2 linked regions of the Drosophila melanogaster genome follow. The protein of the gene in region 1 purifies or fractionates together with the protein of each later gene. This does not show direct contact. Each region holds a gene or a part of one and is shown in the gene's direction. Other genes may lie near its edges.

Region 1 (16,787 bases):
ATAGTGTGCCCGGTCCATATAGGATCGAATTGACCCTTGTCCTGGCTCCTCCCTCCTGTTGAAAAAGAATCGACGAACGATTTGCATGCAGTAGCTCAAGGCATTCCATAATAATTCAAAAACGTTAACGTAGATTTCGCTCGGTTCCTCATGTCGGCGGATCTCATTCCATCGATTATTCAAGGAATTGATCAGATGGATCAGCTGTTCCGGAATATCGTTCTCCTCTGAGCTAACCTCGGAACTCGCCTCCTGCATCGACATCTGGTTCATCGCGGAGCTTGGCTCATCAACATCCACTTGCTTCTCCTCAAACTTCTTAAGTATCTGTGCATGGAGAGAATCCATGCAACTTCTGAGACGATTTTCTGTCCCGAAGGTGCAGGAATGGCTAAAGAAAGTGGGGTTATGATGGAGAACTTTTATGTTACTACTACTCTCCCCAATTAACATATTGGGATCATAGGAGGCGTTGAGGCCGCCCCTTGCCCGTTCATCCAGATTGATGATACTCGTTGAGGATTCGGAATTTGTGCCCATCCTGAGGAATCTTTCCTCCGATTTCAACATATTTTCGATAGCACTCTTCAAGCCCAACGGCTTCGCCGTCATCTTGAGGCAATCCAGCTTCGGATACAAGAACTTTTCCTCACGGATTCTCACGACGCATTCATGCGGCGTCGCATTCGTTGCAAACAGATTCCGTAAACTCCTCTTCACGGTCCGGGGATGAAGTTCCTTGCAAGGATCGGAGGAGGCATACAGAACGTAGCGGCCCGCCGTGCTCCGGTTCAGATAACGATCCCGATGCTCGGCGGACAGCTGGCCCACCAGCGATTGTAGGATGTGCGTGTTGAAGTACTTGGTCATCTTGTGTTCAAGGCGATTCGAAGAAATTTGGTTTTTTTTTTTTTAATGTTTGTTAAAATGTTAAATGTTACTCGTTTGTTCTGTGTACGAAGTTGTGAAAGGTAAGCATAAGGCTTTAACTGAAAGTGAAACAGTTTGGCAGGAATGTCCCAGCAGCATGATCCCATAATTTACACTGAGCGCAAAGAAGGCCATGGAAAATGATTTTGAAACACAAAAATTACAATTTTTGCATGTTAAAAAGAAATTGTTATTTATATATATAACAAAATAACAAAATAACAATAATCATTGCATCATAACATTTCAGAGTGCAAGAATACCAATAACCGTATATCCACTTGGTATTTTCTTCTACCATAAGCATTCACATTTTCGCACTGTGTACCGCATTTGGCATCTCTTAATTTAATTATGCACAGCAGAGAAATGTCAAGCGGTTCGCGGCTGCTCATCGCCTCGTTTTTACACTCGAACTGAGTCCTGATTGAGGCTGTCCCCGCATTTCTCATGCTTCAGTGCGTCCAATTTGATGGCAAGGTGCCAGGGGTGGCTGTTTCAGGGGGGGATTCGGCGGCGTTGCGGGTTCATTTCTGCGGAGGGCGGAAGTGGAAAGTGGGGTGGAATCGCCGCTCCTCATTCAAATGACCCAACGCAATGTAGCGGCGCGCACTGATTCTGACAGGCGCCGCCACAGAGATCTCCGCCAGCTAATACTGTTTTAATATGAAATTTCATTTCATTTCATTTCAACGATTGTCCAACAATTTGTTGTTGCTCTCCACGGCCTTTGTTGTTGTTTTTGCTGTTGTCGGTGTCTCTGCTGCTGCCGTTGACATGTCACTGCGATGAAGTTGAAGGTTGCCAGGGGTCGCACAGTGTGCTCGAATGGCTCCATTATCGCCCGATGACCATGCCCTCCCACATTTAATTTTAATTTAAATTTTGTTTATAAAAAACGTAAAAATATTTAACTAAATTCAACACACATGCACATTTCTTTTTTTGCTCAATTTATTATTATATTTACCAAATATTTTTAGAAGGTTTATACGCGTACATATATTGATATATAAAATTTTGTGTTTATTTCAGTGCTTATTACTTATAATTATATATTTGAATATATATTTTTGCATATATCATATGTAATGTTTATTATATTTATTACAGCTATAAATATTTTTATTAATAAAATAAATTAAATGCTCTAACACCCTGTTGATATTAAATGAATTTTTATTTTTCGAATAATACCCGCACAACTGACACACTTTATCTATATCTATAGCTATTTATCTATAGCAAATACATATTGTCCCACTGTTCAGCACGGTGGTGGGATTGCAGTGGACTGTGTTGGGCTAGGATTTCGAGGTAGCTGCCCTTGGTAGCTCGGCTCGAACCCCGTGTGCAGTGATTTGTTTTAGGGGACTGGGATTGGGATTGGCATTGGGCATTGGGCAACGGGAATTCCGAGTGGAACTGGGAAGAGGGTGCACTTCAGAGGGCGACTGATATCATTCAATGCTTCTAATTTACGGATTAATGAAGGCGCAACTTTACATATGGAAATGCTAGCTGCACCGCGGCGATCGTGGGAAGCGATTAGAGTGGTGCGGTGGTTTGGTTTGGTGTGGTGTGGTGTGGTGCGGTATAATTGGGTTCGGTGGTGCGAGGGAAGGTCCCTTTTAAAGTCGCCCGTCGCCGTCGCATTGTCATTGATGGATTGGGTCATAAATTTGTGATTTGCTAAGCTCGACTGCCATTTTCCAGTCCAGCCGATCACGAAGTTAACTCGTATGAATATTTATGCTTAGCGGGTAATTTCCAATGCATGTGGGAGTACATATGTACATACATACACATGCATACTTATTTCCCTCGGTCAGTTTAAGGTCAAATATTAATGTATTAATGCCAGAATGAACCAATAAATTCAGCTTAGATTCGAGTTAAGGCTTATGTCTTTTATATCCTGAGATCCCTGGGGGAGTTCCTTCCTCAGTTTCCTTGCAGATAGATACAATCCATCTGAGCTTTAGTTTTCCAAATCAAGCTCATAAAAAAAAATGAAACAGGCGTTAGTGGATAGACTTTCTAAAGAATTCATTGGTCACCTTTTATTTTGGCAGTTCCCAGGACCAATCACAATCCAAAGGATTGGCACTACAGGGTGTCTTGCTTGTCATACATACATATATCTATGTATGTATGTCCTGCGAACAAACACTAATAATATTAATAACGATTATCGCCCGATGGAAATGAATCTGGCTCGGCATCGGAATCGGATTCAGAGTCATAAATACACGACGCGCACTCACTCACTCACTCACTCGCTCACCTCATTCATCCGTCCATTCATCGATAGTATCTCTGCTCCGGAGCGATCCGGGTGGGTCGGGGGCAGAATCCGGGCAACGGAGCCACGCGACGGCAGTTGCTTATCGCGGGTGACCAGAGAATCGCCACGTGCGATTCCATTGCCAATTCCATTCATAGTTCGGCCAGCTCATGTGTGCCAACAAACGGGTGATGAGTACGATGGCGGGCATAAAACTAGCATCGAAATAAGTACTATACCTTAAGTACGTCGGAAACTTTACACTTAAATGGTATTTAGTGCGGTGACTCTCAATCTTCTCAATATAATATTAGAAACTTAATATTACCTTGAATAAGTTTCAACATCAAGCAAAATTTTTTAAAATTTAACTTTATCTTAAAGCTCCCTAAGTCGAGATTCTTAAAATCTAGTCAAATAATATGAAATGCATATTCATAAATGAATCAGTTACCTTCCTAACGATTTTATGACAAGCCAATTAAACTACTAAATTGATCGGCTGCTCGTCTGCTGCCCGCTGCTGTGCTGAACCACTAGCAACTGCTGGTTGGGCGGGGGGGCGGTGGACTCGAACCAGGAACAAAGACAGCGAGCGGGACCAGCAAATTTGCGTGCAATCGTTTGGCCTGCGTTTTTAATGACTTTTTCGACTCCGGCCGGGTTATGCCAACCCCGACCAACTGTGGCAATGGCAATGGCAATGCATTTAATTCGATTATGAGACGCCGGCTTCCTTGGCATATAATCATTTCGGTGGTGGCTCGTCGAAAAGTAATTGAAACTCCGACTGTAAGTGGAACGCAGCCAGGCGATTGCCCCTGCCCCCATCCTCACGTGCGCCGGAGTACAACTAATGTGGGTGTTAACGGTGTGTTAAGTGATTCGCCATTTGTTGTAGGATCGAACCGAACAATCCAAATTCGATGGCGACGTCGACACCCGATAAGTATCGGATTCCTTGGGCACTGAACAGAGTTCGCAGTTCCAAATACTGGGTGCTGGGTAACTGGTCTGAGTACTGAGTACTGAGTACTTGGCACACACGTTTCACACATATTTCAAGCGCCTTTCACTGCGGATGAAACTTTTTATTTCCGGTTTAAAAACGGATGAAGTGGCAGTGGCACAAATGTATCGACTTACAGTAAATTGTGGCAGCGAGGGATTGGAAATGCTTGAGGAACTTAAAAACTTGTGATTTCCCTTCTAACCCCTAAGTATTCTTCACAGTATCAAGGATATTAGTGTGTGAAAATACTATTAACATGGGAATGTTTTAAAGTTGCTGGTAGAATTGAACTTATATTATTTTAAACATTTAAGCATGCTCCAGAATCCATCCAATTTATGGCCATAATAATCAAACTAGGAACTCTAATTCCAAGTATTACCTGCTAAAATATATTATTATATATCTATAAAAATTAAAAAATTCATTATAATACTCACAGTTTCTTGTTGAAAAACCCTGCTCATCCATATCGCTATTTGTGTCCCACTCGTTAATGGGTTAATTTAAAGGTGCTATTTATCTCGACTCTGGAAAATGTCATCCCATGTCGCCACCACCCCGGATTTTCCCATTGTTTTTCCTATTTTTGTGGCCCCTGTCCGGAGAGCGGCTAATGAAAACTAAAAACTTCAATTACCAAAAGAGCCAAATAATGCGTTTTTAAACCCAAAAATGTAAGAAAATTGTGATAGATGAGGGTTTGGCAATGTTTTTTACGGGCCACTTGTTCCTGACCGCCCAACGCTACCCCTTTTTGGAAGCAGCGCCCCCATCTTTAAACAAAAAGAGTGACCAAAAAGGCGCAACAGCGACCGAAAGAAAATGGCAATAAATCAGGGTAAATAACACACACAAGTAACAGAAAGTCCATGGAAAAGGGGGCGTCACGAAAGGGTATTTCGCCCCGAATTTCCCAACGGGGTGATTATTTAAAATTGTGCAACGCATAAATAGAAGTCCAAGTTGGCAGGAGGCGGCAGATGTGGGACCCGAACCGAAATCTTCTGTTTATGCTCTTGTAATTGTGTTTTTGGCTTATTGCCTTTTGCTCGGAATTTGTACCGCAGGGATACACACACACTCGGCCCAGTTCCATGTTCCATCGACATGGTCAAAATCAGCTGGCGATCGAATAGTATAATATAACTATGAAATACATTTGGCTGTTTCTCAGAAATGTTCGTCTTTAATGCATTTCAAATGGAATGTCTTATGAAATACATTCTTATTGTTTTCAAATACATCAATTCGAATAATAATCGTCAAACAAGTGAATCATATGGCACTCGTGAATATGTTTCATTAAACGAATCACATATCCACCGTCTTTCAAAATGTTATGGATGCGAACATTGATATCGCTTCGTAGTACTGTGTGCTCCAGATGCTTTATGCCCTCTAGGATGTTTATGTAAGGTATGGGACACTGACGGCGTGTTCCCAATATTTCAAATCTAAAGGCCAGATTGTGCTGGGCTTTCTCCAGCTCATAGCAAAATGTTAGATTTTTCTTGCTTGTATACTCGGTGATGCCGAAGTCCAGAAAGTAGACACGGTAACGGCAGCGAAATATGTCAACGATTTTGGCGCGATGATATCGCCCCTGATATGGGGCCAGAACGATGTCCCAGACGCGAAAATCACCTGTGCCCCTTTTCATAACACTCTTGCTCCACGTGGGCACTGTTGGTCCATCAGCGAATCGGGCGTAGAATTCGGCATGGCTAACGATCCTGGTGACATGGACGCGTACAATGCTACCACGTTCGCGACGCTTGGGTCTATATCGTGCAAAAGATTTGGCCACTTCCCGATCGTTTGCATCCATATTTCCGTACTCATCGCCCGAAATTGGTGGTAGTTGTGCGGATGGAATCTTCCGAATGTTGGTCCTATTCCTGATCAGGGCCACCAACAGTTCAAGGCCATTACTGCCGAGGACGCGCAGTCTAACATTTTGGGTAATAAATATATGCATCTGGGCCACATTGACCAGGCGGCATTTGATCGTTAGCGCCGGCAGCTTCTTGAGATCATCCGGCAGCGCGAAGATGCGCTCCATGCCGGACATGTTGGTATATTTGGCAGCGTCGATCATATAGGCACAGTAGCCCATGGGGTGAACGGGGGCATTAATGGCGATGCGAGAGATGCGATTCTCGGCCTTGTCGTAGAATGCAAAGATTTCGCCATAGTCGGGCAGCTGCTCCAGTTCCTGCAGTTGCACCTGCCCCATGGCTAGACATTTCAAAAGCTTGGAGCCCGGTCCATTGATGGTCACGTAGAAGACCGGCAGGCTCTCGAGCAGCACGGTGCCGGTTAACTTGGTGCCTATCGCAATTTCACCGATTTGGTCCGTGATCTTGTAGAAGGTTCCCACAACGGACCGCATGTGACCGCCATGGGGAGGATATAGGCGGCTCTTTCGCGGATTCCGCGCCAAACTGCTTAGGATCTCCTTTGAGTTGACGCACTTGGGGACCGCCCGGATGGGCTGAAGCAGGCAGCTGGGAATGGATTCTGTTTTCATCAGATTGAAAGTGCCTCCTTCCATTTTATACAGATGTGCTTATAATTTCAGGGAATAATTTAAACTACATATTGCCTTGTCAAAATGGAAGACAGTATCAGGGTAGCACTTCTTATCAAAATATCTCAAATAATATCAAAATTCTTGTTTGGAACTAAATGTACTTTATTTTGTGAAGTGAATAAAAATTGTTAGATTTCACCATATACTTAATTGTACGTAAATGATTCATGTTGCTGATTATGCAATGGCACTACAAATAAGTGTCAGTTTAGTAAGCTTTACTTTTATTAGCAATCAGCATGTGTCCTTGTTCCGCACTGTACTGAAAAGTAGGACCGTACTTAAGGATTTACCTAAAATTCGGCCACACAACAGTTAAATTAGCTTTCTGGGTTCGAAACCAAATGAGAGGGGTTAAAGAGGGGATCAGCTGATTTTGGCTAGATATCGATAGTGACGCCAAAGTTGAGCTGCGGAAATGTCGCAAGTTGAGCAATTGCATCTGAAATCTCCGCCAGAAACGGCTGCAGCAGGAGCAGGATCTCCTCAAGCAGCCGCTTCGGTGGCCGTGGCAGCCGATGCCAACGAAACGGAGCTCATGGTGAAGGTGGTCATGGACATGGGCTATCCGGAGGGCGAGGCTCGCTTGGCGCTGGCCCAGAGTAACAACAACGTGCAGCGGGCGGTGCAGATCTTGGTGGAGGGAATGGATGACGGCGAGACGCGCAAAAGGCGTGGCAATCGCAAGCGATTAAGGCAACTGCGCAGCTCCCTCATGGGGAATCCACTTGCCACGGATGAAGCCATCATCGAGATGATGCGCGATCAGAGGATCGCACAGACGCTCGCCGAGTTGGTGAACGGCAGCAGTGTGCAGGCCATGGAACTGCTACTGTCCGAGGAAGTGGATGAGTCCGAGAACGAGCAGCCGGAGGAGCAGGAGCTTGAAACCAGCCAGGAGCAGTCATCCTCATCTGCCGATGACTCTTCGCCTAGCAACTGAAAGGGAAACCAGATACTAGTTAGTACTGCTTACATCTTATAAGTTAAGGTATAGATATATGAGAAGTTTAGTTTTCAAGTCTACTGTTAAGTTAAAACAAGTTCTTCATAGTTACGTTTTTAGTTTGCTATTATGTTTAAAAAATGCCCTTAACTTTATAGTAAGTGTATATCAGAGTAATTAATGTTGATATTAATCCACCATGAAGTCTAACGAAGATTTCCATGTTAATTTTGTTAATTTTGTTTTCATATCTAAAAAGTGTCATCAATTTAAAAGTATACTTATATTTTAGTTTATTTTCAATTGTGGAATTTCGTGAATATTTGCATTAAATATATTGCTAAGCTGTTAGTGAAGATGAATCGTCGTTGTTACTTTTGGAAAACTTCTTTTTGGAACTCCTAATCTAATTTTTTCCATAATAAATAGGCAAACTATAGAATTTTTTAAAGAACCTAACAGTTAGAAATAAGTACCATTATTTTTGTAACATTATTATTGTCAATTAAGAGCAGTATATGGGGAATCAGGGCAGTTCGAGGACGAGGATGTTACCTGATGTGCTGGTCCCTAAAATGTTTGGGTTCAACCCCAGCCATCGGGAGACATTAAATGCATTAGGGCCACCCAGGCCAATTTTCCCCCGAGCACTTTGTTGTTGTTTTGGCGGATATGACTCCGGTCAAGGAGCGGAAGAAGCCGGAACTGAAAGCAACAGCAACAGCAACCCTGTGGCAATAGCAATGCGCAGCTTGTCAACCCTTTTCGGCCCGATGATTAATGATCGCTCTTTTATTTTTTCTACTCCAGCGTTTTGTACTGATTTCAATTTACCGCCTTTGCTCACCAGTTCTTTGGCGTAGATTGGAGTACATATAGTGCATCCCTTGGATTGCCTTGGGCAAGGGGTAGAGGGGGGTATTTCGCAGTTGAAAAATTCTAATTAATTTTGACTTGCAACCGTTGACACTGTCAGCCGCAGCCACGTAACCCACCCAGCGTTTATCGCGTTTGATCGGCGTTGCGGCGCACCGCAAACTACAGAAGGCGTCAACCCCTGGACGTCCGTCGTCCGTCGTCCGTCGTCCAATTCCTGAATATACTCCGGTGCTCCGCTCCGGTGACTGCTGCTCCACAATCGGAACTCGAGGCGTAAGCGGCGCCGTCTCATTTATCAAGGGCAGCCAACTGTCGCCGCTCTTTTTGGGCTGTCTGGGGTTAAGATTGCGCGGGTTAAGTCAGATTGCAGATTGCACAGCGAAAAAGTATGGCAATATATTGAAAAGAAATCTGTGTTCTGCGTGCTCTATTTTGTTTTTTTTTTTCTTTTATATTAACGACGAATGAATGAATGATGAATTATGCCAGTCAGAATAATGCTTAGTTAAGTAACTATTCTTATAGCTATTTATCTGGACACATAAGAAGCACTCAAGCTGCCTTTGGGATATCAAAAATAGAACTCTGCTGGTGCTCTTCGTCACTACGTGGATACTCTGGTAGTGCAATCATTTTGATGCCTTTAAGAGATGGTTTTCCCAAGCTTAGAACATCGCAAGGCAAGTCTTTCACATAGGATCTCTCATTTGATCCATTGTAACTCAAATTCTCAGGCATATACATACATGTACATTGACCATTGACCTTTCACAGCGTGAACCCGATAAGGTAACGTTTTCCGAACCCTACGAGTATTTCAGCACCTTCGATAAGAACCGATTCGATCGGGGTTTTTGCTACCCGTGCGTTTCGAGTTCGGTTCGGTTCGGGTTCGCTGGACTTTAAAAGGCAATTGTCACGGCCCGTAAATTAGATGTGGAGAAATCCGTAATTCGATACCGCCGATGACGTCGCTGACAATGGCATGCAATCAGGCCTGGTTGTCCGTCGACCATTACCTTTGCCGCTTGTTAACTTCGTTTGCATATATGTACAGTTCGGGAGGCGGGTCGGGTATGAAGGGGCGGGGCATTATCAATATGTTGACAACAAGCGAGCAATAATAATTGCAATAACAATTTGCCGCGAACCCAAGAAGCGTGCGAAATGTGCCAAAAGGCAGCGAAGGGATGGGTTTCGATCCGGTAATTGGCCACATACGACAATACATAAAAGATGGCAAAAACTGGTAGCAACGAGGCAAGACCTCGTTTATAAGTCGATCATATTTAAACGGATTGTTAAGGCAATTTCCAATGCAAATGAGCCCGCAAATGACGATGACAAACGAAGAAGGCCTGGGGGGAAGAAGCCTACTTTGCGGCAATCGATAACCGCAACCGAGAGTCCTGCCACAGGATATATGGACACGGTTATAGATACAGATATAGAGATAGATATACATATACATATGTATATGCATGTGTATGTATGTACATACAATAGATGCCCGTATGTATGCAAACCGAACCGCAGTTCAAATTGAAGTGCCAGCCCGGTTGGCTCACTTTTTATTTGCCCAAGCGCTTAATTGTGTAAAAAAGGACCGATGATAGTCCTGCGGCTGAAGGAGCAGCTGCCGAGGGCTGCCAATTAATAGATGGAAATGGATTTGCGTAAGAAATATGCGTTGCCGTTTCCACCCCCCCCCCCCCCTCTACCCACTCGCATTTCCATGGGCCAACAATGGCGAGCGAGCGAACCAGAGACAATTAGGCAATTATTTGCGCAAAGGATCAAAACCAAAACAAAAAGCCCTGCCCTGCCACCCATTCACCATCCGTTCACTGCATCCATTCCACCACCCAGCCACTCACCCCCCCCTGGCCATCATTCGAATGCTTGTGGGAAAGCGTTCAATGGGTCCATGGGCACGAAACTCGTGTGTTCCAAATTCCGAGGCCAACAAGGATGAGCAGCGCCAGCTGAGTTGACCAGGTGCTTGGTTAGCCTTTTTAACTTGGGATCTTGGTTTATAGCAGAGTTCTATAGATCGTTATTTAACTTCTTGATGGGTAAAATCAACTTTCTCTATATAGGAAACCAGATAACACAGAAACTAAAAATAGATGAAATACTCGAGTTCGGTTTTGGTGATCCCGAACACTGACACATTGTTGTGTTCTGCTATCCCGATTTCAATATTTCTAAAAATAGGATTTATCTTTTATTAGATTTTGATGGAAAACTATACGTTTTAAAAGAGTGCGCTGTTGAAAAAACAAAATTATTTAACCAAGCTACTGCCTTGGTGACCCCGAACTATTGTGCTTTCCACAAAGAATCTTCTATAATTAGCATGACTAATGATCAAATGACGTTTAAAGGTTTGTGATATAAAACATTACCAATGTTTATTAACCTTTTTCAGCCACTTTCGGGCGGTGCACATCACTGGCTCTGGGAGCAGAGCTTAGGTGAAATTTTTGGGGTGGGACTGAAGTCGGGTTTCGTTTGGAGTTTGCTTGGGCCGTTGCTTTTAATTGAACATGAGCAATTAGCGTGCAATTTGTTTCGCTTGCGAATGTGAACCAACGGTAAATGGGGGCAGCTCACTGCCGTCCTGCAAAACCCACCCGCCACCTCTCTCACGTGTGCCACGTGCTTTTTTTGTTGTATTTGTCTCTCTGTGTGTGTGTGTGTGTGTGTGTGTGTCTCTTGCCAAGAAACGCACTTGAGCAGAATTAATTTTAAATGCGGCTCTGCACGCGGCTAAGTGATTATGTCCTAGGCAGAAAGAGCGAAGCCATTCGAGCTGGAAGCTGCCCATTCAACCACCACCCACTCGCCATCCACCACCCACTGCCCCCGCCCCCCTCACCACTCGATTGCTCGCATGTTTAATTATAATTAAAAAGCACAGCACAACATCTCCAGCAGCATCTCCCTTGCCAAGAGAGCATCCTTCAGGCTAACCTGATCCATAAACATTAAAATGGTTAATTGAGTGCTTAGTGCGTCCTTGCCACCCCGCTCCGCCCACTGCGGCTGCAGCATAATATTAATTATTTTAATTGAAATGTTCATTATTTTACATCTAATTTGGCGCTAGGTGCGTGTGCCACTCCCCCAATTCCATTCATTGAATTGAAATGACCCCCATCCCCACTGGTCATCGTTTCCACATGCTGGAAACTAGGCACAGTGGGCCGCACAGTGGGGCCGCACAGTGGGCATCTCACCTCATGGCACTTTCATTGAGAAGATTGAAACATCGCTTAAAAGAAAGTATTTCAATATTTAGAGAATACTTTTTAAGTTAAAAAAAAGGAGTTAATGTGAGTTTTAAAGGTGTAATACGTTGAAAAAGCATTGCTGGTATTATATAAACCCCTTTTTTTATCTGAACAAATTAAATATGTGAAATATCTAATAGATCACCCCACTCATATCTATGCCTTCCGATTTGTCCCACTGTGCCTGCCTGTGCCATATTTAATTCTTTTTATTTTCGGCCTGCTTCTTTTGGGGTTGTTGCAGCAGTTTGGCGCGGGGTTTATTATAAATTTTTAATTGGCTTTTTATGTATGAATAATGCCTGCACCCCGGCACCCCTGTCCATCGTAACGCGGCCGCCCGTGGAGTTCAGAGTGGTGCCACCAGTAGAGACGCTCCTGTTTCTCCCCGAGAGATGGGGTAGTTTGGCGGATCATTTATGCAGTTAATTCATTGTGCGGTTATTATTCTTCCTGCACGGCAAAAAAAAAACAAAAAAAAAAAGAAAACAGCTTGACATCCAGAAGATGATTTAATAAAACGATGTTCAATTGTGCTGACTTCCAAATTCTAGTTTTCATCACCTCCAACTATTTCCTTTGTGTGTCAGGGAGTATTTTGCAATTGATGATATCAATTTATACATTTTTTAGAAGGTATCATTGTCATTCATTCATTTGATTCATTTCAAAGATGGATAAGTAATTTAACCTAAAGTCTTTATGGTTTAGGATTTTGTTTCGCTATCCTATCAGAACTTGTCTACAAAACACTATTTTCCACCTATAGCTCAGTATATTTTTTTCGGTGTGGGAATTAGTAACGGTACAAAAGGGTTGCATCGCTGGCTGGTGGGTGATATAATGTACAAATCGCCAGAATGGGGCCGAAATGGCTGAATGTCACAAGAAGGAAGAGGAAACTATCCGGCTTGCGGCAGCGAAGCTCCACCTACAAAGGGGCACAGGTGCGCCTACGCAGGTGGGCCGCATGCTAATAACAGTGCCTTAACAGAGCAACCCTCGGCCGCACCTGTGTGATAGGCGGTCGGCGGCCAGGAGCGGCGTCCAATAGCAGCGCAGGGCCCCAAAAAGCAGCCCCAACGCCGGAGAGCGAGAGCGAGTGCGAGAGAGAGAGAGCGGAAACAACCCTCGCGTTTCAAAATAAAAAGCCGGTTTCATTCGGATAGAAGGAAAAGCCAGGCGAGAGAGAGCTCGTGCTGTCGACGTCGACTTCGACTTCATTCATGCGGCATTCGAAAATTAACGACATTCGAAAATTCAACTTCGGCGCTGGCGGTTGTGAGTGCGCGCGTGCGATAAACAGAAGAAGAAGAACAAGACGACGACGACGTAGCGAAACGCAAAAGTTAGCGAAATCATAACAAAGTCACGGAACACTGTTCATTTTTTTTCCTGTGTACATGCCACAAAAAGGTAGAAGAGAAACAACAGCAGCAACAACAGCAACGGCAGCAGCAACAGCTAAACAAGTGCGAAATATGCAAATTTATGAGCTAACTAATTGAGTCGAGTGTGCGTGCGTGTGTGTGGTGCGTGTTCGTGTGCGTACGTGTGTGTGGCAGGTGTTTATCAATCTCTCCCTCTCTTTTCTATCGCTCTCGGTGATCTTGCACCCACACACAAAATCAGGAATAACAAATAACAAATAACGAATAGCGGTAAACGTAAATACCAGTAGCCTGATCTCACGGTCTCTGTCTTGCCCTCCCCCACACTCTCCATCTCCTTCTGACACGCGTGTGGCGAGATTTCGCATTCAATTAGCGCTAAAATTGAATAACATAAACAATAAGCAAAAACGCATTCCTCTCTCTCTGTGCAGCAACAACAATTGAATAATAACGACCGGACCGGACCGAACCGAACCGACCGCAAAAGCTAAATAAATAAATAAATAAATACACAACATACGCAATTACAACAGCAACAGTAAGAGCCTTGTGCTTCCTGAGAACAACAAATACCACAACAACAAACAGCAGGAACAACAACTCAATTTCTGCATATGTAAGTTGAAACTTTCTCGCCGGCGATCCTTTTAATTAGTTTACGTTAGTTTTCCGCCCAACACGTCTGCTTGTTTATTTTTGCCATTTGTTCTAATTAAGAACCAAAACGAACTGAAACGAACAGAAGAGGCTCTCCGTTCTCCACTCTCCACTCTCCACTCTCTACTCGCCGACTTGCTAATTGCCTCCGTCTCGGATTACCCAGCAAAAACAACAACTACTTGCAGCGATCAGCAAGAACCCTGCATGTACACACACACACACACACACATACACATATGTACAAACACATATCGCAAAGGAAGCTGGAGAAGTTGGGAAAATAATCAGAAAAACCAACAAACGCGCAGAAAAAGATGCTAAAATAAGCTCATTTTTTAGAAGAACACAGAATAAATTCCAGGGGTTGGAAACAACTTTTATGCCTTAACTGTTAAATTTCAAAAGGAAGCAGACATAAATATAATAATATTGCACAGAAATGCAGACTTACCACTGTAACTGAAGTGATATTTACGTAATCTATAACTAAAATAACTAGCTTTATTGAATTTAACATTTTAATTAGTGTCAAAGTCTTAAGTGAAACTTAAAATAAGCATTCTTGCATTGAATTCTATAAAACATAGCAATAATAGTAATAGGCAGTTAAACTTTCATGACCAGAAAATTACCTAACTCAAATTCGCTATAAATCAAAAACGTTTTGTTAACCGTAAAAACTAGTCATTTACGCTGAACTCATTCTAAAAGTCGAAGTTCTGTTAAGTTGTACCTTTTTAAAGGCAAATTTATTTAGAATGTTCAATTTTCGGCTTGAAAAACTGTGCTACTAAAAAACTGGCGTTAATGTCGTTATATCTGTTCTCAAACTCATTAAGATTTGTTTGGAAACACAAATTAAGTTTATTTCATTTTTGTAATATTAAGCACTATGCTCTCTGTAGTGTTGCGTTTCGTTACTAGTTTAATGTGTTTGCAGTTTAACTGTGCCATTTGGCAATTATAAGGTTTTAAGCCCTAGAAATAGACTTCATACGACCCTATATCAATTTTGTGATTCCATGTTATGATCGCCGAAAGTCACACAATCCTTATTGGATGACTCCTTACTGTTCCACTTGGAACTACTCTATTTGCACTCAGATCCCATTCACTTTCCCATCGTTGTGCTAACTTACTCTAGCTAGGCACTCCTTTGAGAGGCCTTGGATGTTACCATGGCCACCCGACCGCCGCCACCAGCCTCCCCTGATCCCAGTTGCACCGTCTAATTGGGAATTTCACACATTTGCATGCCTCCACCGCCCACTGGCTGTGGATTTTCTCTGGCCCTTCATTATTTACTTTCCTGCCCGCGCGATGTTGTTGTCAGTCAGGCAGCCCATTAATGCCAAATGCGTGTCTGTCAAGTCAAGTCAAGTCGAGCCGAGTGGAGTGGAGTGGAGTTCCCCCTTTTCTTGCCACATCCATTTCCACCTCTGCAACTGCAACAGCAACTCCCGAGCCAGTGGAGGTGCAAAAAGTTGGCGGAATGGAGACTGGAGAAGTGCAGTGTAGAGCAGTCGCCGCTCACGTTGCATTAATTAACATTTAAACAATAATTAAATTATTCATACAAATGTGGCAAATGTAAGCGGCAGACACACGGAGCAGTTCCCTTCATCTTCATCGCCATCGCCATCGTCATTGGCCCATCTTTAATCTCCGAGTAGCTGGCAGCAGGAGCAGGAGGAGCTGGAGGAGGAGCAGCAGCAGCAGCAACAACAACAGCCTATTAGTAAGGCTTATTGCCTGTCTGGCTACCAGTACCACTGCCACTACCTCTCTTCAGCGATCTTATCTGCGGCAGGGCGCGCACGCGCACCTTCAGGCTCCATGATCCCAGGGGCGGGTGGTAGCGGGAGTGGGAAGGGTAGCGGGAGCGGGAGGAGCAACACAGTAGCCGGGCCATGTTGATGATGATGATGACGGAGACGCACCTACATGCAACGCCCTCTCACGTTCCTTTTACCTCTCTTTTCTTTATATATCCCTCGAAAACACTGATCAGCAAATCAGCGAGGGACGAAAATTTGGGTGTAGCATACTTTCTAGGGCGTGGTCTGAACTCTAATACATTTCGTATAACTACCATTATGAATGTATCCTGTATAACTTTTGGCGAGAATCATATATACGGAATTATTATCTTGAAAATAGATGTATATCAGAACTATCACTTATTATGTAATGATAATATATACGGATCCTTACTCATATGAGTTGAAAACCTTGTCGGCTAGTGTAATTGCCACACATTGCGGTGGTGCCGCTTTAAGGCTAACAACTTGCTTAGTCCGTGGGTCTTTCGGTTCCAACCCCTCCTAGCAGATACCTCCCCACATGCTGATCACCATCTTGCCGTGTTCCCTGACCATTCCATGGTGTTCTGTCCCGCGGACCCCGCATTCTGGTAATCCTTTAATTTATGACACTCTGGCACTCAACTAGAACGGACAGCAGGGAACCGTGGGAGGTGCGGCAAGTGGCGGGGCAACATGACAACAATTTGCAAATATTTTATTAATAAATGGCATTGCATTCATTCGACCGCGGACCACATGCCGAACTCCAAGTCCAAGTGCCGCATTCGATCCGAAGTCCAACTTTAGGCTTAAGTCGCCGCAGCGTCCCAAAACTTGTTGTAAAAATAAGGTAACAAAAAACAAAAGCTAAGCTAAAAAAACAACAACAAAACAGAGGGGCTGAGACGTAGGCCAGTCTGCAATTGGTAGCATGCGACGCTGGACTGTTGCAGCTAAATTAAATTAAAATAAAAGTGCGCTA
Region 2 (16,450 bases), on another chromosome or scaffold:
ATCCCGATACTGATACATGGTCCTGCCCTTCACCTGCACCGAGTGCTTGCTGATGAAGGTATCGTATTCGGTTTCCAGCAGCGGCAAAGCTTCAATGGCGTACTGCTCGTCCTTGGTCACCTCCACATATGCCTTTACCATCATGATCAAGAGTGGAGGGTTCGATCGACCCGAGCAGTATATCCGGCCACAACCAGGCACAAAGCCGTACTGCTGAACCAATTCCAAATAGTTATCGATCATGCCCCGGGCTGTTTGATGCATGCCACATTGCAGCAAGCCGCGAATGATCCAAAACGATTCCCAGTAGCGGTACTCGCGGCAATTTGAGGAGGGAACAATGAAAGGATTCGGTACGTAGATAATGGAATACTGATCGGGGTTCTCCTTGACTTCATCCTTAATCCGCCGCCCCAACTCCTTCCAAAGTCCATTGACATCCGAACCGAACTGCTTTATTTCCGGGTCAGAGATCCTGGCAAGAAACGAAGGCTGTGCTTTCCAATCCGGCGGTGTCCAGTGTTCCAGCTCCGAGCCAGGATCATTGAAGTGCTTCTGCAGTAAGAAAATATTTCTAAAATTATACCTACTTTATAGTGAAATTTCTTTGGGTTTTTCTTAGAGTTTTTTTTTCACATTTTACCTCGACAAACATTTGCAGGAACCTTAGAGATCCATCGTTTCTGCGGCAATTGGTGAACATATCGAAGTCGGCCAAAGTTTGGGCAGGTGTAAAAATGCAGCTCATGTCCACAAAGTGTTTGCAGTCGGGAAACATTTTCGATCTCTGGACAGCATCCAGCAAGGGACCCTCGCAGAAAACACCTCTATCTCAGGCGGAATATAACCAATCAGTCGGAACTTCAAGTTCGAGGACCTTTCTTCCACGACTCACCTGTTTTCTCCGCCCAGGACCTCTGCACCGCAGCGGCACTTATTCGCCATCTTCAACGAGTTGTTGCCTTTTTTGTATAGCGAAGTTCAGGCTGAGTGACTGATAACCGGTCCAAATTCGGGTTTCAGCCTAGATGTGAATCCCAGGCGACTGGGTTTTTTGGGGCATAAATCAAAAAACCGAGCAGCAGCAGCCTCTGTTATATTGACCATTAAAGCAAATTTGTCGACATTTGCCATTAAGAGTCAACAATGCTCGGCCATAAATCAGCGTAAATAGACAGGAAGCGCCTGCGAATCCTCAGCACTCCTTCCAGGGCCACACATTTATTTTAAATTACCATAAATGCCCCTGACCGAAAACGAAACCAAAACAAGAGCAGCGTGGCGAACTTTGCCTAAAAGCTATTGGCCCCTGTGTCCATTTGTAATTTCCAGACAATTTATCAAACCAGCAAAAGCAGTGAAAGCAGCAAAGGAACAGCAAAAGCAAGGGGATGCCAAGTGCCGAAGGCCAGAAGTCGGAATGGAAATGGCGCAGAAAATGCGCTTCAAGTGGCCATGGCCATGACCATCGACTGGATGGATAGATGGAATGGAAAGCCGGGGGTGGCGGCGAGTTCAAATAAAGTAAAAATTCTTCGATTCGTGTACAATCAAATTGGGATGGTGGAAAATGGGATAGTGGACAATCAGCCGCGGGACGGATACTTCATAAATTTCTTCGACCGATCCACTTTAATGCAAGTTTTTGGCATCGGCATCTGTGTGGAAACTTCTTCAAGTACGAGAATTCGAAGGAGTACGGAAATTAGCCTTGTCGCAATCGCATTCTCTGTCGTCTGCAAAGTTTCAATTGAATTTTCGTCCGGCATAAAAATGCAGCAACTTGAACTTTTCGCCGTGTACGAGAAGCGATCATCAACCAAGTAATTAATTTTGCATATGTGAAAGTGCAGCCAAAGAGGATGGGCATGGATGGAAGTCCTGACACTTGTCGCTACCCCTTGACCCCTCGGGAATGTGATCAACTTAACGAGGTGCCGCCAGTGAGGAGTCATGGAGCCAGTGCACCGATAAAAAAGTTAATAAACCTAACAGCACGATTAATTCCAAGTAATATTTTAACAATACTTAAGCAGAGGAGAGGTTATAAGAAGCTCCCAAATGCAATCCATTCTCTTCAAGAACACAAGCTACTGATATTCAATTGCCTATAATGAGCATCTTCTTTTTCGCTCAGTGTAGCTGCACGCTTATCATCATCGTCATCCGCATTCGCAGCTAATTGAGTATTCTTCCCTTAAGTGGACACAGCCGCCGCTGGCGCCTTTCAGCCTCATTTGCAGGCACGCACATAAATCAATAAGTTGCATTCGGCCTTAAATTAATTAAAAGGAAAATTCGCAAAGAGCAGTTGGTGTAGTTTTCCGAGTTTACTTTACTTCCGGCTGGCAAATACAGTTGCAGTCTGTGCTTAAACACTCCGCCATCTGACAGCAATCAATCAAAAATTTCACTGGCCTTAGCGCGACGGGTGGCGCCGGATGTATCACGTCCCAGCACCACACAACCAGCAACCACCCACTGACCACCCAGCGCCCCCCACTTCCAACTTCGAAGGAGCAGGAGCAGGAGCATGATAAATTGTCAACACGCTGACGTTTGTCTGCAGCGATTTAAAAACTACTTAAAATGTAAATGTTGTTTCCCTGTTGCTCTGCTGCTGTGTTTGGGTTTTATGCACACGTCGCGCAGCGTAGACTGCGAAAATCATGTTGTTGACTTTGAAAAAATATGTGTAAAAATGCGCTATTGTAAATAACAGGAGCATAAGCCCCCGGGGTGAGCCAGAATGCGGATAGGGGCGCCCGGCGAAGTGCCTCCAACTTGACTGACTGTCTGAGCGAGAGTGATGACATGGCAATGTCAACGTTAGCTGGGGCAGCAACATCGGTGGCAACATTCGTTCGCTGCCACGAACCACGCATATAGCGACTCCATGAAGATGCCACGCCTCTGTGATTGCATTTTTACACTTGTCATGGCGATTTGGACCTGTGTTGCCTTTGCTTTGTCAGCTCTAGTGTTTGCAGCTTACACTGTGCAACACACAAGCAGCAGCCGCAGCAACATCCTGCTGTCTCCTGCTTCGCTTCCACTTTGGGACTGCTGCCACCCAAATAAGTTATAAATTCAGCTGTCAAGTATTTTGACAATTGATTAATTGAAATCGACTTGGAAAGTTACTACAGTTGATAAGCAGGCGCATACACACTCGCATTCGCCCGCCGCCGAAGGAAACGGAAGTGGGCTGTCAATCACTCCGCTCATCCCGCAGCCAGCAACAACCATGGATCATTTGTTGATGAGCTAAACTTTGACCCGGTCAGAGATCAAACAAAAGGGGCTAGGGACTACGGGGCAAGCCGCAGACGCTCAAATTAAGCAAGAGTCTAGTTAAACAGGAAAGTTTTGCACCACACCACCCACGATAGACATCTCCGGCTGCCCTTCGAGTTGACAACCTAAATTGTTAGTTGGCTGATAAGCCGCCAGTCGACTGCCGACTGCCCCGCCCCCCATTCGCCGGAGTGGGCGTATATAACATTTTTATTTATATCACTATTTTTTATTTACTGGGTCGGGGGGTGGAACCAAAACCGAACGGAACACGCGCCACATGCCAACGACAAACAAATAAATAAAATTCCTCTTTCGGTATGAATGCCACCCCGCCGCTGTAACCAACGTTTTTTTTTTTTTTCGAGGGGTCAACACTGAAGAGAAGTGTGTGTGTTTTACAAGTCTATTAACTTGTGGCGCTTATCTAATGCTGACAGCAAGTTTTTCACTTTGCCAAAGTTTTGCCCCGGAAAACGCAACTTCCCCTTCGGTTGCGGGGAGTGGGAAAATTGTGGGAGGGACTGGAGGAGTTTCGGGGCAGCTCCGATGTCAATAATTTGTTGATCATTTTTCTTTTTAGCCCATGCATAATATATGGCCGGCATTTGTAGATGACCACAAACATCTCTTCACTGCACTGCGCGGAAAATTATCGAAGAAACATTTGGATAAGGATATTAAAAGATAGAAAACAAATTTTGAAATTTTCACATAAAATTTTTTTTTTCAAAATGTAACAATATAACTACAAATTCTATTTACTTCAAGTCTTTTTAAGCTTAATCCTATTTATAAACACCACGCGCGTATTTTTCTTTGTAGACAACTTAGAAACCTCTATTCTCCAGCGGCGAAAGGAAAAGTGCCAGACTGTCGGAGGTAAACTTTTGCTTGGGAAAACTCTTGATTTCCTTGGCCATAAGGACAGGGAATTGGTCAAGCTAGTGGCTGCTTCATTAAATGCGACGCCAAAAAGTTGCATCCGTGGAGCTGTTGGAAATATTTATGAACTGTTCGACTGCTGCCGGTGGCATATATATACTATATGGTATGCGCAGTGAAGCATGGTTCTGGCCAAGTTCGAGTGTCACACCCCACCTGGCCACCTTTTTTCAATAAACGTTAAGCATTACGGTTATTAGTTTCTGGACGGGCACATAAAAACTTCAAGTCGAGTCGAGAGGAGTCACCAGACACGAGACTCTGTTGCCCGGCGAACGGGGACAACAACTTTGTGTTGCTTCTTTGCCGATGCTATCGACTTATGCTGTTGCTGTTGCAGTTGCCACTCTGTAGCAGCAACATGTTGCAGATGGCGATAGGGGCTGCGTTGACTAGTTGACTATGCTGCCATTCTGGAAATGGCTGAATGGGACCTATGGAAATTACGGAAACCGTGATACTTCCAAGTGCATTACATGCAAAGTCCTTGCGGCAGTGACAACAGCAGCAGGAGCAGCAGTTGCAACAGCAGTACAACAGCAACTTATTAACGCGCAATCTGAGCTCTGCAATTGACCGCAATGGAATGGGGCGGGGTGCTCTTTGGGGGCCAGTAGAGGATTCTGAAGCAGCGGCGATGACGGCCACGACGACAGACGGAAGCGGAAACGGCAAATAAACGCACGAGCGCTGACGTGCGGGCACCAGCGTGTCAGCGTCCGTGTCTTTGTGTTGCCGCTGCATGTACGTGTGTGTGTATTTGCTGCACTTGTTTGCATGCAACGTGGCAACATGGCAACGACAATGGCAGGAACAACAGCAACAACAGCAAAAGCAACAGCAGCAGCAGCAGCAACGGGCATTTATCTGGCTGCCCAGACCTGCCACGCCCCTCGTAATACATTGCGGTCGGGATGTTGCATGTTTGTGGGCGCTCGCCTGCGTTTGTATTTTTTTAATACCCATGCATTTATAAGCTGTAGGGCATGCCCTTTTTATAAATGCTGAAATTTAAAAAGTAAATAGAAAACTTATCAATCATCTGATAACATTTTGTTACTCATTGGGTTATTATTAGAAAGCAATAGAGCTCATATTTACTGTACTTTAATTAAATATATTATTCACTTTAATCAACTTTTGTTTCAATTTAAAAACAAGGCCTCCCTTATCAACGTACTGTTTGTAAATAAAAGTTCTTAGAAAATCGTGATATTTCTGTTCTTCTGTATGTAAATTTTTCTGCATAATCGCTTTTACTGCACTTTTTGAGCTTCTGACTTTTCGTTGTAATAAATCTTACAAAGGGAATTCAGTTTTGCTCCGCTGTTTCAATTGAGATGACGCCTGCAATCGTTCTGCTGACTTTTTTAGTAATCCTAACCCTGGGATCTTATGGATATTCGCAGCTATTGGATTCAAAATGCATTGCATTGTTTCGAATAAGAGTAATTGGTGGTCAGAATGCTCGAAGGACTCCATGGATGGCTTACTTGATACGAGATAACAGATTCGCATGTGGCGGCTCACTGATTGCCTACCGTTCGTACTTGCAACTGCAACTAATTAAGTATTATAGTTTATAACGTTTTTATTTATTTCAGGCTTTGTTCTAACCGCTGCCCATTGTACGAAAATCAACGACAACTTGCAAGTTCTTAACATTCTTGCCCTGACTTTCTGTTTACTTTTATTGTTTTATTGCAGATTTGTTAGATTGGGTGAATACGATTCGTCGAGGACAACGGATGGACAGACTAGAAGCTACAGAGTTGTTTCAATATATCGTCATAAAAACTATATAGATTTTCGAAACCATGATATTGCTGTGCTCAAACTGGATCGCCAAGTCGTCTACGATGGTAACTCAGTGCATTTCTATACATATTAACCCATATCTATACTCAATCTATACTTAATTTACAGCTTATATACGACCAATTTGCATTCTTTTAAATTCCGGCTTGCAGTCCCTTGCAAACAGCATACAGAATTTTACTTTAACTGGCTGGGGTCAGATGGCCCACTATTACAAGATGCCAACTACACTGCAGGAAATGTCCCTGCGCCGTGTTAGAAATGAGTATTGCGGTGTTCCGAGTCTTTCCATATGTTGCTGGAATCCCGTGCAGTACGCCTGCTTTGGAGATTCAGGCGGTCCATTGGGGTCACTTGTGAAATACGGACATAAAACCATATATGTTCAGTTTGGAGTAACCAACTCCGTGACGGGCAATTGTGATGGCTACAGCTCATATTTGGATCTCATGAGCTATATGCCCTGGCTTTACCAAACCTTGTTAAGAAACTGGGTCTAAATAGATCTTAACTGAAAGTTGAGTGTGTGTTCATTTCTATTTTTAGTGGGTAGTGCGCAGTCTATAGGACATTTTACTGATTTTATTGGAATTTTCCCCGGGCGCCATCGTTCGCATGCACGGCAAGGATTTCTCTGCTTAATTTGTGGTTTTCAACCAAACAGAGAAACGATGGTAGCAATGGACGTTGGACATTGGACATTGGACGTTGGCAGATGGCGGAAAAGTGGCGGACGAGTCCACAGCTAACCAACTGTTCAACAGCAATTGCAATTGCAATTGAGGTTGCAGTCGCACGAATGTTCCAGGAAACCCTTAAATATGATTATGGCATACGAAAGGCCTACGAGCAGAGAGTCACTTTTCATGGTGGCGCTGATTTTTTCTGTTGGCCATCTTCGCTGGAATCTTTGCGGCACACGTTCGGTTGCTTTTTGCCCAAAAGATTTCCACGAACTGGATTTAATTGTCACACATTACGGAACCACAATTACATAGAAAAATGCGCCAGCCAGCCAGCGGAAATGGCAACAATGCAAATGCAGCCACTGCAGCAAATAATAACCACCGACTGTGGCCAGCAAGGACCTTCGCCTCCTATCCTCTTCCACCCCTCAAATAAAATGCGCCATTTGCAATTGTAGTTTATTTTAATACCGCAATTAGTGTTGTTCTCCGGGCGGAGTGGTGGAGTGCTGGAGTATTTGTGGTTCGGTGGTTTGAGCACGCAATTGTTGGAAAGGTTGGAATATCCTGGCGGATCCTGCCACGTTGCCATGTTGCCACACCATTTGAGGTGGCCGCATAAATATATATGTATGTATATATGATGATACAAGGTATGCAAAGTTTTTCCGGTATAAATGTACGATTACCAGTCTTTTTGCACTAACGCAATTGAAAAGCTGTCCATTTGGAAGCTCGGCCATTTGGAATTATTTGTGCCGCAGCCGCTGTTAATTGATTTTTAAGTGCCAACTGCAATCAGGTACTTCGATATGCATCAGGTGACACATGCAGGCTCAAATTATTTTCATCCAGCCTCGGAAAAAAGCGTTAATGTAATCAGCGAAGAAAAAAATGTTTGCAGAATACCCTTTTTAAGCAAAAACGAGATGAAAAACCTTGACGTTTAGCAAATGAAACCACTTCGGTTTTAATCTCCATTAAACATTAACTTTTCAGTAATATTGTAGCATTTTATGCAAACTAGAAGTTTTAATCATGATATGAAAAATCTTCCTAAGTTCACTAATACATCTGTTAACTATGATTTTCTTGTGTTTTTTGTTAAATTACAAAGTTGGCCTAAAATGAATAATTAATTTTCAGTGGTATATACATAACCCTTTGATATCTCTTAGGATTTTGAAGCACTCCATAACATCAGACAATATCAATCCGATTGAAAGTTAATTGCTCACCTCGCTGATCCCCTCGATTGGTTTTTCCTTCTCTTTTTTTCTGTTCTATGTGCAACGGGTGTAATCACATTTTATGTTGAACGCACTTAATTTTTTGCTCCAACTAAATGCCAATTAAAATGCGTAATTATTTTTTAATGGCATTTTGTGGTCAATATCGGACGATTGACGATGATTGCACAGCGGTGGATCTGCGGAGTTGTGGAACTCCACTCCGATGACGGGATGCCGTCGTGACAATTCACATTTATGACGAGCAAATGGCCAGTATCCATATCAATTGCATGACTTGTCAAAGCGGCGCCCGCCTAAAAGAAAAGTGCCTCACATGGGATCGCATGTGTGCGTGTGTGTGTTTGTGTGTGTGTGTGTGGTGGGGGTGGGTTAAAATCGCCAGCAATTGCAGTTCAAGCAAGGAATCGCAATAAGGACTCCGATGTCCTGCAGCCATGTTTCCCTGGCAAATGAAATTCGAGCAATCATCGCCATCAACATTTCGCTTTACTTCAAAAGGGACACGGCGGCAACATGCCGCAAGTGACAATCATTTATATTTAATAAACAACTAACGCATGCAGGACACACAGCAGCGGCCAAGTAAATAGCACTCAAGGCGTGAATGTGGTTTTCCTGGTTTTTAGTCCTTGAACAAGTTCAAATGAAGTTCAATGCTTTATATATAAAAATTGAATAAATATGGCACATTCATAAATAATACCACTTGAAAAAATTATATTTGTATTTTCAATATATTTCTTTCCCAATATGCTTTGTATTTTTATGAATACTACTTGAAATTACAAAATAAAGGTGGCAATTAGTGAATTGTAAGGCACTTATTATTTTCCTTTGTTTTTGAGCTAAATAAATTCCAATTCCAATTGCTTGCCAGTTGCTGTAAGACCTACGATTGGTGGGGGCGGGAAAGTGGGGAAAAGCCGTTCGGAAAAACAACAGCAAGATGACGAGACTAAGCGGCCATTGTCTCCGCCCCCCTTCGAACCCCGCCCCCTTTGCAATGGAAATTGTTTACCATGCATTTTGTTCGATTCCGAGTCGAGGCGTCTGAATAATGCAGCAGGTAGTATACGCTGATGGAAAAGCGGAAAAGCGGGCGTGGAAAATGGGGGGGCGGTCAAGTAAATAAGCGAGCATGAAAGCGAAGACGAAAACAAAATGGGGCAGATAAAAACAACAACAACAACAACAACGCCAAAAGGACAACAATGCTGCAGACACAAAACCGCTTCGAATCGCTTTGGGCGGCATTCAAATTGAATATTGAAAGCATCGAGCACAAAACTGCCAAACGCTTGAATTATGCATTAATGATGTCTGCCACACTGGACAATATAGTGAAGGGGTGGCGGGGGAGTAAAGGGGGCAAGGATTGAGGGGCGTTTGCAGGATACAAGGGGTTTTTTTTTTTTGAAGCCAGGGACAAGAACAACGGCAATGCGTCGTCCTCGTCGACTGACCATCGCTTATTAATTTTTTATGCGTCTGCTATTTTTATGGTCGACATGAAAGCGTTGGCCACAAGCCTTTTATTTTCCTGACCATTTTCGGCTAGCTTTCAATAGTTTTTCACCGAAATTTCCATTTCAACCAGACGCGAGTTTGCGTTGAAAAAGTTACTAAAACTTATCCTACATAGGAGATTTTATTAGAAGAGATACTACCTTTTAAAGTCAAACGCTTAGAATAATTTATAAGGCTGATTATTTATTCCTGGCTTTTTAAAATAATTTAAAGATAAAGATTTCCAGCTTCATTGATATAGAAATGTCAAAAAAGTTCTATAGCACACGACAGTCATACATTTATTTAACCAATTAAAGCGATTCGAAATGGCATGGTGTTTAAGTGCTATTGCCATGTCGCGCACTGTCAATACAATGTCAATATGCATTGTTCGCTAATGTATCGCCAACAAAGTTTTACGCTTTTTGTCGCCAGATTTTCCCTTTGGCTTAATTCCGTTTGAACGACGAACGTTGCGTTGGACAGGATTTTGTCCTGCAAATAAAACGCGCCCTTGACAATGGCCGTCAATATGCCGATATCGGTGGACAGAAAGACGTTAATTACCAACATTACCGCGCGCCCAATTATCAACCGCACAAATCAGCGGTGATGTAGGTACGGGTAACCTGATGCACCGTGTGCGGGGCAATGGAAAACTCATTACATGCCACAGGAGCCATCATCCGTGATTCGAAAGATAGCACATAGGTGGAGCGATGGAGCACAGGGGCAGGTGGCCAGGCGCCACGCCCACAAGGAGCGACCGCAACATGCTGTAATGCGTGGCTCTATCAGCATTTGCATGTGCAGCTGGAGCTGGAGCTAAATGCGCCCGATACTTAAAGCCAACTAAAGGCCATATGTTAGCCTACACTGCCAAAGGACAAACTTAATGTCAACACGCTAATCTGTCAGTCGGCAGGAGTTGCAGCGCAGGATGCGAGATGCAGGGCGCGGAATGGGGGATACTGGCATGGCGGGGAGTTGGGAGTGCGACTGCAAAGGATCTGCCACAATGTCAGGCCACTTAAGGAGCGCTGAATCGCAGCGCCTCGCTGCACAGGAACTCAAGGATATTGGAAGTGGGCGGAAAATGGGCGGGGAACACTCCCAGAAAATGCAGCGATTCTTAGACAAACTTCAATCCTTGGAACTTGATTAGCTATTATTACTTAAGGCAAACGATTAAAAAAGCTTCTGCGTAAAGGATTAGTAGAAAGATATAAAAGAATCCCATATTCTGTTAATCTGAAATCAACAGATTCTGAAATGAAAAATATTCATATTTCAGATAGCTTACTTCAAAATAACTAAAAAGAATAGCCTAAATGGTTTAAAAAGCATATAATACATTCAAGAATAGTGTATGCTTTTTAAATAATTCACAATCTTTTGAGGAAATACCAACAACCCAACTTCGCGCTGCTTAAAATTAATGATAAGTATGTTTAATATTTATAGAAAATTATTTGCTAGTGTATCGCCGCCTGGATGGCGCAACAATAATGCTGGACCCTTTGAAATGACAAAAATTGGTTGCTCTCCGTGCGGCTTGACGCCTGACTTGGCAGGAGACACTCGAGGGCACCACAAATGCCAAGCCGTCACCCACCCAGGCACCCAACTAAACACCCACTGCTCCTACAAGCAACGTCCTCCCCCCGCGAAGGACGCGTCTTATCAACTATGCAGGGCTTTGTCTCTAAGCGATTGCAGGCGCCACCCCCCCTTTCCCTTCCAACCTGCCCCTGCCCCCTTTTGCTCCACGCAGTCAGCGTCTTTTGTTGCGCTTAATGAATTTTACGTAAATTTTACGAGCGCTGATTTCTGGCAGCAGCAGCACCACCCCAGCTATTAATCCACACTTTGGCGAGAGCACCACCCCCAGTGGATGGGTAAATTAGTGGGTGGTTGGGTGGTTAGTGGGTGGATGAGACTGGTGCTCTCCTGGTTGTGCGTGTGTAATGACAAGTTCAACAACAACTCGACATTGTCGACTGGTGACGAGGACGACGTGCTCCGACATTTGTTTGCCCAAGTTATGCAAATATTTTTCCAGTCAAGAAGTTTTTGTTTAATTGCATATTTTGACTCGCATTACGCGTGTCATAAAGCAGGGATCCGGAGCTTACCACAATGCCAGAAGTTGGGCGGGGATTAGAGGCACTCGAAAGACATGTTCCTGCATTTTACAGTTCAAAGACCAAACTAAACAATCAGTTTTACGAGTATAGATCTTATTCTGCCCAGGCTTGCCATTGAACTATAGCTATCTTCCTTAGAAATTAATTTAAATTAAATTTATATTTAAGTCTCTAAGATGATATTTTAAAAATAATTCCTAACACAGACGAAATCATGGAGAAGCCTTTAATATGGTTCATAAAACATAATTTATTTGCTGCGTTCGAAACTGTGAAGCTGACCTACTTCATTTAAAAACGAAATTAAACCGAATATATATAGTATGTATACTTCTGCTTTAGACAGTAAAAATGCATGAAGATTGTTTGCTTAATTGGTTAAACTAAATGATGGCTAAATATATTACCACCTCATTTATGGTAATCCGAATAAAACGTTTAATTTTTTTTTGGAGGAAAGCGTTGGATTCGAATTTCATTGCCTGGACAAATTTAAAAAGTTTACATTTTTGAGGCATACCTATCGCGTATACGCTTTCTTTCTTTTCCAGCCCTGACAGTTTCCGAGTATCGAGTATCGAGTATTACTTTCTATCTTTCAATGACAATGACCGGCGACTTTCTCACTTTCTTCGTACGCTTCTTACTGGCGAAACACAAGAGCCCACAAAGGATTATGACAAGTGCTGGCAACTGGATTTCCGAGGAGCTGGAACCAGCTACTCTACTGTCGATTCAGGAGGATAATGGTATTGTTACCAAGGTGTACGTGGCGCCCTGTTTGCAGCCGATAAAAGAGGAGAAAGTTTTCCTGGAGGACAACACGCAACGCTTCCACTGTCCGCTTTGCTCTAATGTGATTCGCACGGCCGGTGCCTACAAGGTCCATCTGATGGCCTGCCAAAGACGCTTGGCACGCATGATGAAGGATGTGCCGGACGTGTCCCAGCATCAGTGCAACATTTGCAAGAAAATCTTCTCCTCGGTGGATGCCCTGATCGGCCACAGGCTCCTGCATGGAAGCCCATCAATGAATCGCACCTGTGCATCCTGCCATGTCAAGTTCGGGACGGATCTGGAGTATCGCACCCATTTGGAGAGCCATCTGATACCGTGCGAGTCCACGGATGAATCCTACGAAGGGGCGTACACCATCACCAAGACCTTCAATTGCGTCTTTTGTCGCACGGAGTTCAAGGCCTGCTTTAAGCCTGGCCAAGTGACCCGTCGATACGCGTGCGACGCATGTATCGTAAGGCTGAAGGCCCAGGAGGAGGAGAAAAAGATCTTAGGGAAGAGAAGGCCCGAATTAATCTGTGATCGTTGTGGGAAAAAGTACAAATATGAGGGTTTCCTTCACCGTCATCTGAAAACTTGCCAGATGCCGGATAAATGCAAAAGAAAGCGTGAGATTGAAATCACCGAGGTCAGCGAGGTAACATTTACAGAAGTTGTGCAAAGTTTTAATAATTGATTATACAAATTCGCACATTTTAATTTTAAATTAAATAAATATATTTTTTAATTGTAATATTTTTTATAATTTTCAAATTATGGCGCCCATCCCACCGATATCTATTTCGATCTGCTATCGATGTGGTCACACTTATCGATAAATCCACCGTGGCGTGGTATTTTTGATTTAAAGCGTTAGTCGATTTCCCGCCCAGCTGCACGTGTATATTTTTTTGCGGTCCAAAGAAAAGTTCGTAAATAAACGAATTTGCGTGCATTTCCAGCGAACACGATGAGTTCAGACGAGTCCAGCGACGGTTTGGAGGAGCTGCAGAGTCTGAAGGCCCTCTACGGCCAGCAGGAGCAAGAGAAACCGGCAAAGATCAAAAGGGAACGTTATATTCCAAAGGCCTCGCAGGCCAAGGAGCTCAACTATGTGGAGGTGCCCATGGAAAAGGTGCTCTTCGGCGACAGGCAGCGACTGCTCACCAATCTAGCCAAGTCCGTGGGACAAAAGTTGCCGAACGATGACGAAGACGAGCAGGAGGAAAATCCCGGCCAGGCAAAGCCAGGCGACAAGCGGAAAGCCGCCTGGTCGGATTCCGATGACGAGGACCTGCAGGTGGGCGATGTCAAGAAGGCCACAAAGCACACGGGTCCACTGAACCACCTGCGCAAGGATAAATCGTACAAGGAGTATCTTACGGCGCGATTCCAGCGCACGCTTAACCAACCCAAGTGGGCGGAAAAGAAGGTCAAAAATGAGGACGACGAGGACGTATCCTCCGACGAAGAACTGCTGCGGACGGTTGGCTTTATCGATCGTAAAGCCCGGAACAGTGATCTGCCCCAGAAGACTCTGAATTTTAAACGGGTCAAAGACCTGAACAGGGCCACATATGCCGAGGGTAATGCCACCAGCATTCAGTTTCATCCAACCAGTACTGCTGCTCTAGTGGCGGGCATGAATGGCCTAGCCACCATCTACGCCGTGGATGGGCAAAAGAACGAAAGGTTGCACAACATGCGCTTCAAGAAGTTCCCGCTGGCGTGCTCCAGAATTGCTCCATGCGGCACAAGGGCGTTCTTTGGTTCTGTGAAACCATTCTACTACTCCTACGACTTGCTGGAAGCCAAGGAATCGAAGCTAAAGCTGCCGGGCGCAATGGAATTTATGCACCGCTTTGAGGTGTCTCCATGTGGCAAATTTATCGTCACTGCTGGCAAGTTTGGAGCCATTCACCTGCTCACGGCCAAAACAAATGAGCTGCTGCACAGCTTCAAGCAGGAGGGCAAAGTGAAGGGATTCACATGGTCTAGTGACTCCAAGAGGATCCTCGTCTGCGGTTCCACTTCCAATGTCAGCGTGCTGAACCTGCGCCAGAACCTCATCGAGCACATCTTCATGGACGACGGCTGTATACATGGAGAGTCCATTCAACTGTCTCCCAACCAACGCCTACTGGCCACCGGCAGTCAAGAGGGCGTGGTCAACATCTACGACTACGAGAGCATTTTCGCATCCAAGGCCCCACAACCCGAGAAGCGCTTCATGAACCTACGGACTGCCATCACGGATCTCCAGTTCAATCACTCATCTGAGCTACTGGCGATGTGCTCCAGTGAGGCGCCGAATGCTTTTAAGCTGGCCCATTTCCCCAGCGCCACTGTGTACTCCAATTTCCCGGCACAGAACGAGAAGGTTGGCTTTGTGACCTCCATGGCCTTTTCGCCGCACAGCAGCTTCCTGGCCTTTGCCACTAAGGGCAAACAGGTGCCGCTCTTTAGGCTTAAGTACTTCAAGGGTTATTAATTGAAGGCAGTATGATGTTTACAATAAATTCTTAAATAAAATCATTACTCTTTCTGTGGTTACAATGGAACCATCTTTATTTAAGTTAACAAATTAAGGGGACTTATCTTTAGAAAGGAGCTCGGAAAATATCGCGTTTCTGGGAGTCTTGAATCTTGCCAATGTCTTCCAGCTTCTTGCTGATGTTCGTCGACTGCGATTCGATCCACTGCAACGAATTCATATGGGCATTAAGGATTTTTCCGATCTGTATGATGGGATCAGTGGTGTCCTGGCCCTTGTTGGCCTCGTTCAAGTTGTCTATTATCTCCTTTAGATCCTCGGACATCTGCTTCAGTTGTGTGTCCAGATTCTCCACCATCAGGTAGGTTTGGCTGCGTTCCATGTCCACCCTCGGGAGATTAACGAATTCCTTCTCAAGCGGTCCCAGGCTGTCCTCAAGCTCTTTTTGCTGCGTGGCTATAAACTCCAGCTCCTGGTCCAGCACTTGCTGATCGGTTTTCACTTTTTTCACGGCATCGTTGAGCTCGACGATCTTCCCGTTGTTGCTGATGAGCAGTTTGTCCCATGCGTTGATCTGAGTGGCCTGTTCGGTGAATACCTTTTCCTGTTCCTCGAACTCGAGAGTCCACTTGTTGATATGCTCCTCAAGTTGGTGGTAGGACAATTGGGATGCCGTGGAAACGGCCGATGAGTCTGTGGTCTTGGTTTCGGTAGTGAGATTGGCAAAAGCACCACCAGTACTTAAAGTTGGGGCCGGTGCAGCTCCCTGCGTGGAGGCTATGGCCGACGGAGCTGCAGTCAGAGTTGTGGACGCAGCGGCCGTGGTCTTGGGAGCTCCCAATCCAGACCCGCCCAGCAATCCAGTTGTGGTAGCTGCGGTGTTGGGTGCACTGGTTGCTATAGTTGGCACCACAGATGCCGCTGGTTGAGCCGTAAAGCCTCCGAAGGCGGGAGGAGCAGCAGAGGTTCCAGTCGCGGTCGCAGAAGTGGTGGACGCTGGATTTGCGGCGGCTTGAGTGCCCAGCGTGAGGGGAGCTGAAGCAGTCCCGGATCCCAGGCCAAATCCAAAGGCTGGTGGAGCCTGCGCCTTGCTGTTGTCTGCATCTCCGCCACCGATACCAGCAGTAGGTGCCGGTGTTCCGAAAGAGAATGTGGTTTTTGTGGCGGGAGCCGTGGTTGCTGCTCCTGAAGCTGGTGCTGCGGCTGGTGTTCCTGTGCTGAGGCCGAAGGAAAACGACGATGTTGCGCCTCCGGTCGGGGCGGCGGTTGTTGTTGGCAACTGGAATACCATGCTTAAACTTAAGACGAATAATATAAATCTAAATCAAACGAAACACGCCAAAAGCAACCAGTGTGACCCCTCCTTGGAGTTCCGCAATGTTGTCGGTGTTGGAAATCAACTAAATTTGAGCTCAAGCTAGCTATTTTCAAGCCAAAACACTTAGCAGTTTGAAGATTGGGCGGCAAAATTAAATTTTAAATTTCTTTGAATTGGCAATACAAATGAAGTACTTTGCTCAGTCG

What was found.
Region 2: the proteins of CG15047 (region 1) and CG15710 purify together in Drosophila melanogaster (affinity purification with mass spectrometry, with the first as the bait; one large-scale study listed by BioGRID). This does not show direct contact.

Annotation. Positions count from the first base shown.
Region 1 is NC_004354.4:18,521,469-18,538,255, forward strand, and holds CG15047 (uncharacterized protein), read left to right. Parts: upstream 1-7,214; 5' UTR 7,215-7,243; coding exon 7,244-7,768; 3' UTR 7,769-8,125; downstream 8,126-16,787. Other genes in the region: CG6481 (uncharacterized protein), read right to left, coding at 1-870; CG15042 (uncharacterized protein), read right to left, coding at 5,476-6,786.
Region 2 is NT_033778.4:16,344,348-16,360,797, reverse strand, and holds CG15710 (uncharacterized protein), read left to right. Parts: upstream 1-12,270; 5' UTR 12,271-12,331; coding exon 12,332-13,129; 3' UTR 13,130-13,184; downstream 13,185-16,450. Other genes in the region: CG6262 (uncharacterized protein), read right to left, coding at 1-555, 644-827, 896-945; CG30098 (uncharacterized protein), read left to right, coding at 5,583-5,784, 5,847-5,892, 5,950-6,104, 6,169-6,560; wcd (wicked), read left to right, coding at 13,403-14,923; Nup62 (nucleoporin 62kD), read right to left, coding at 15,033-16,217.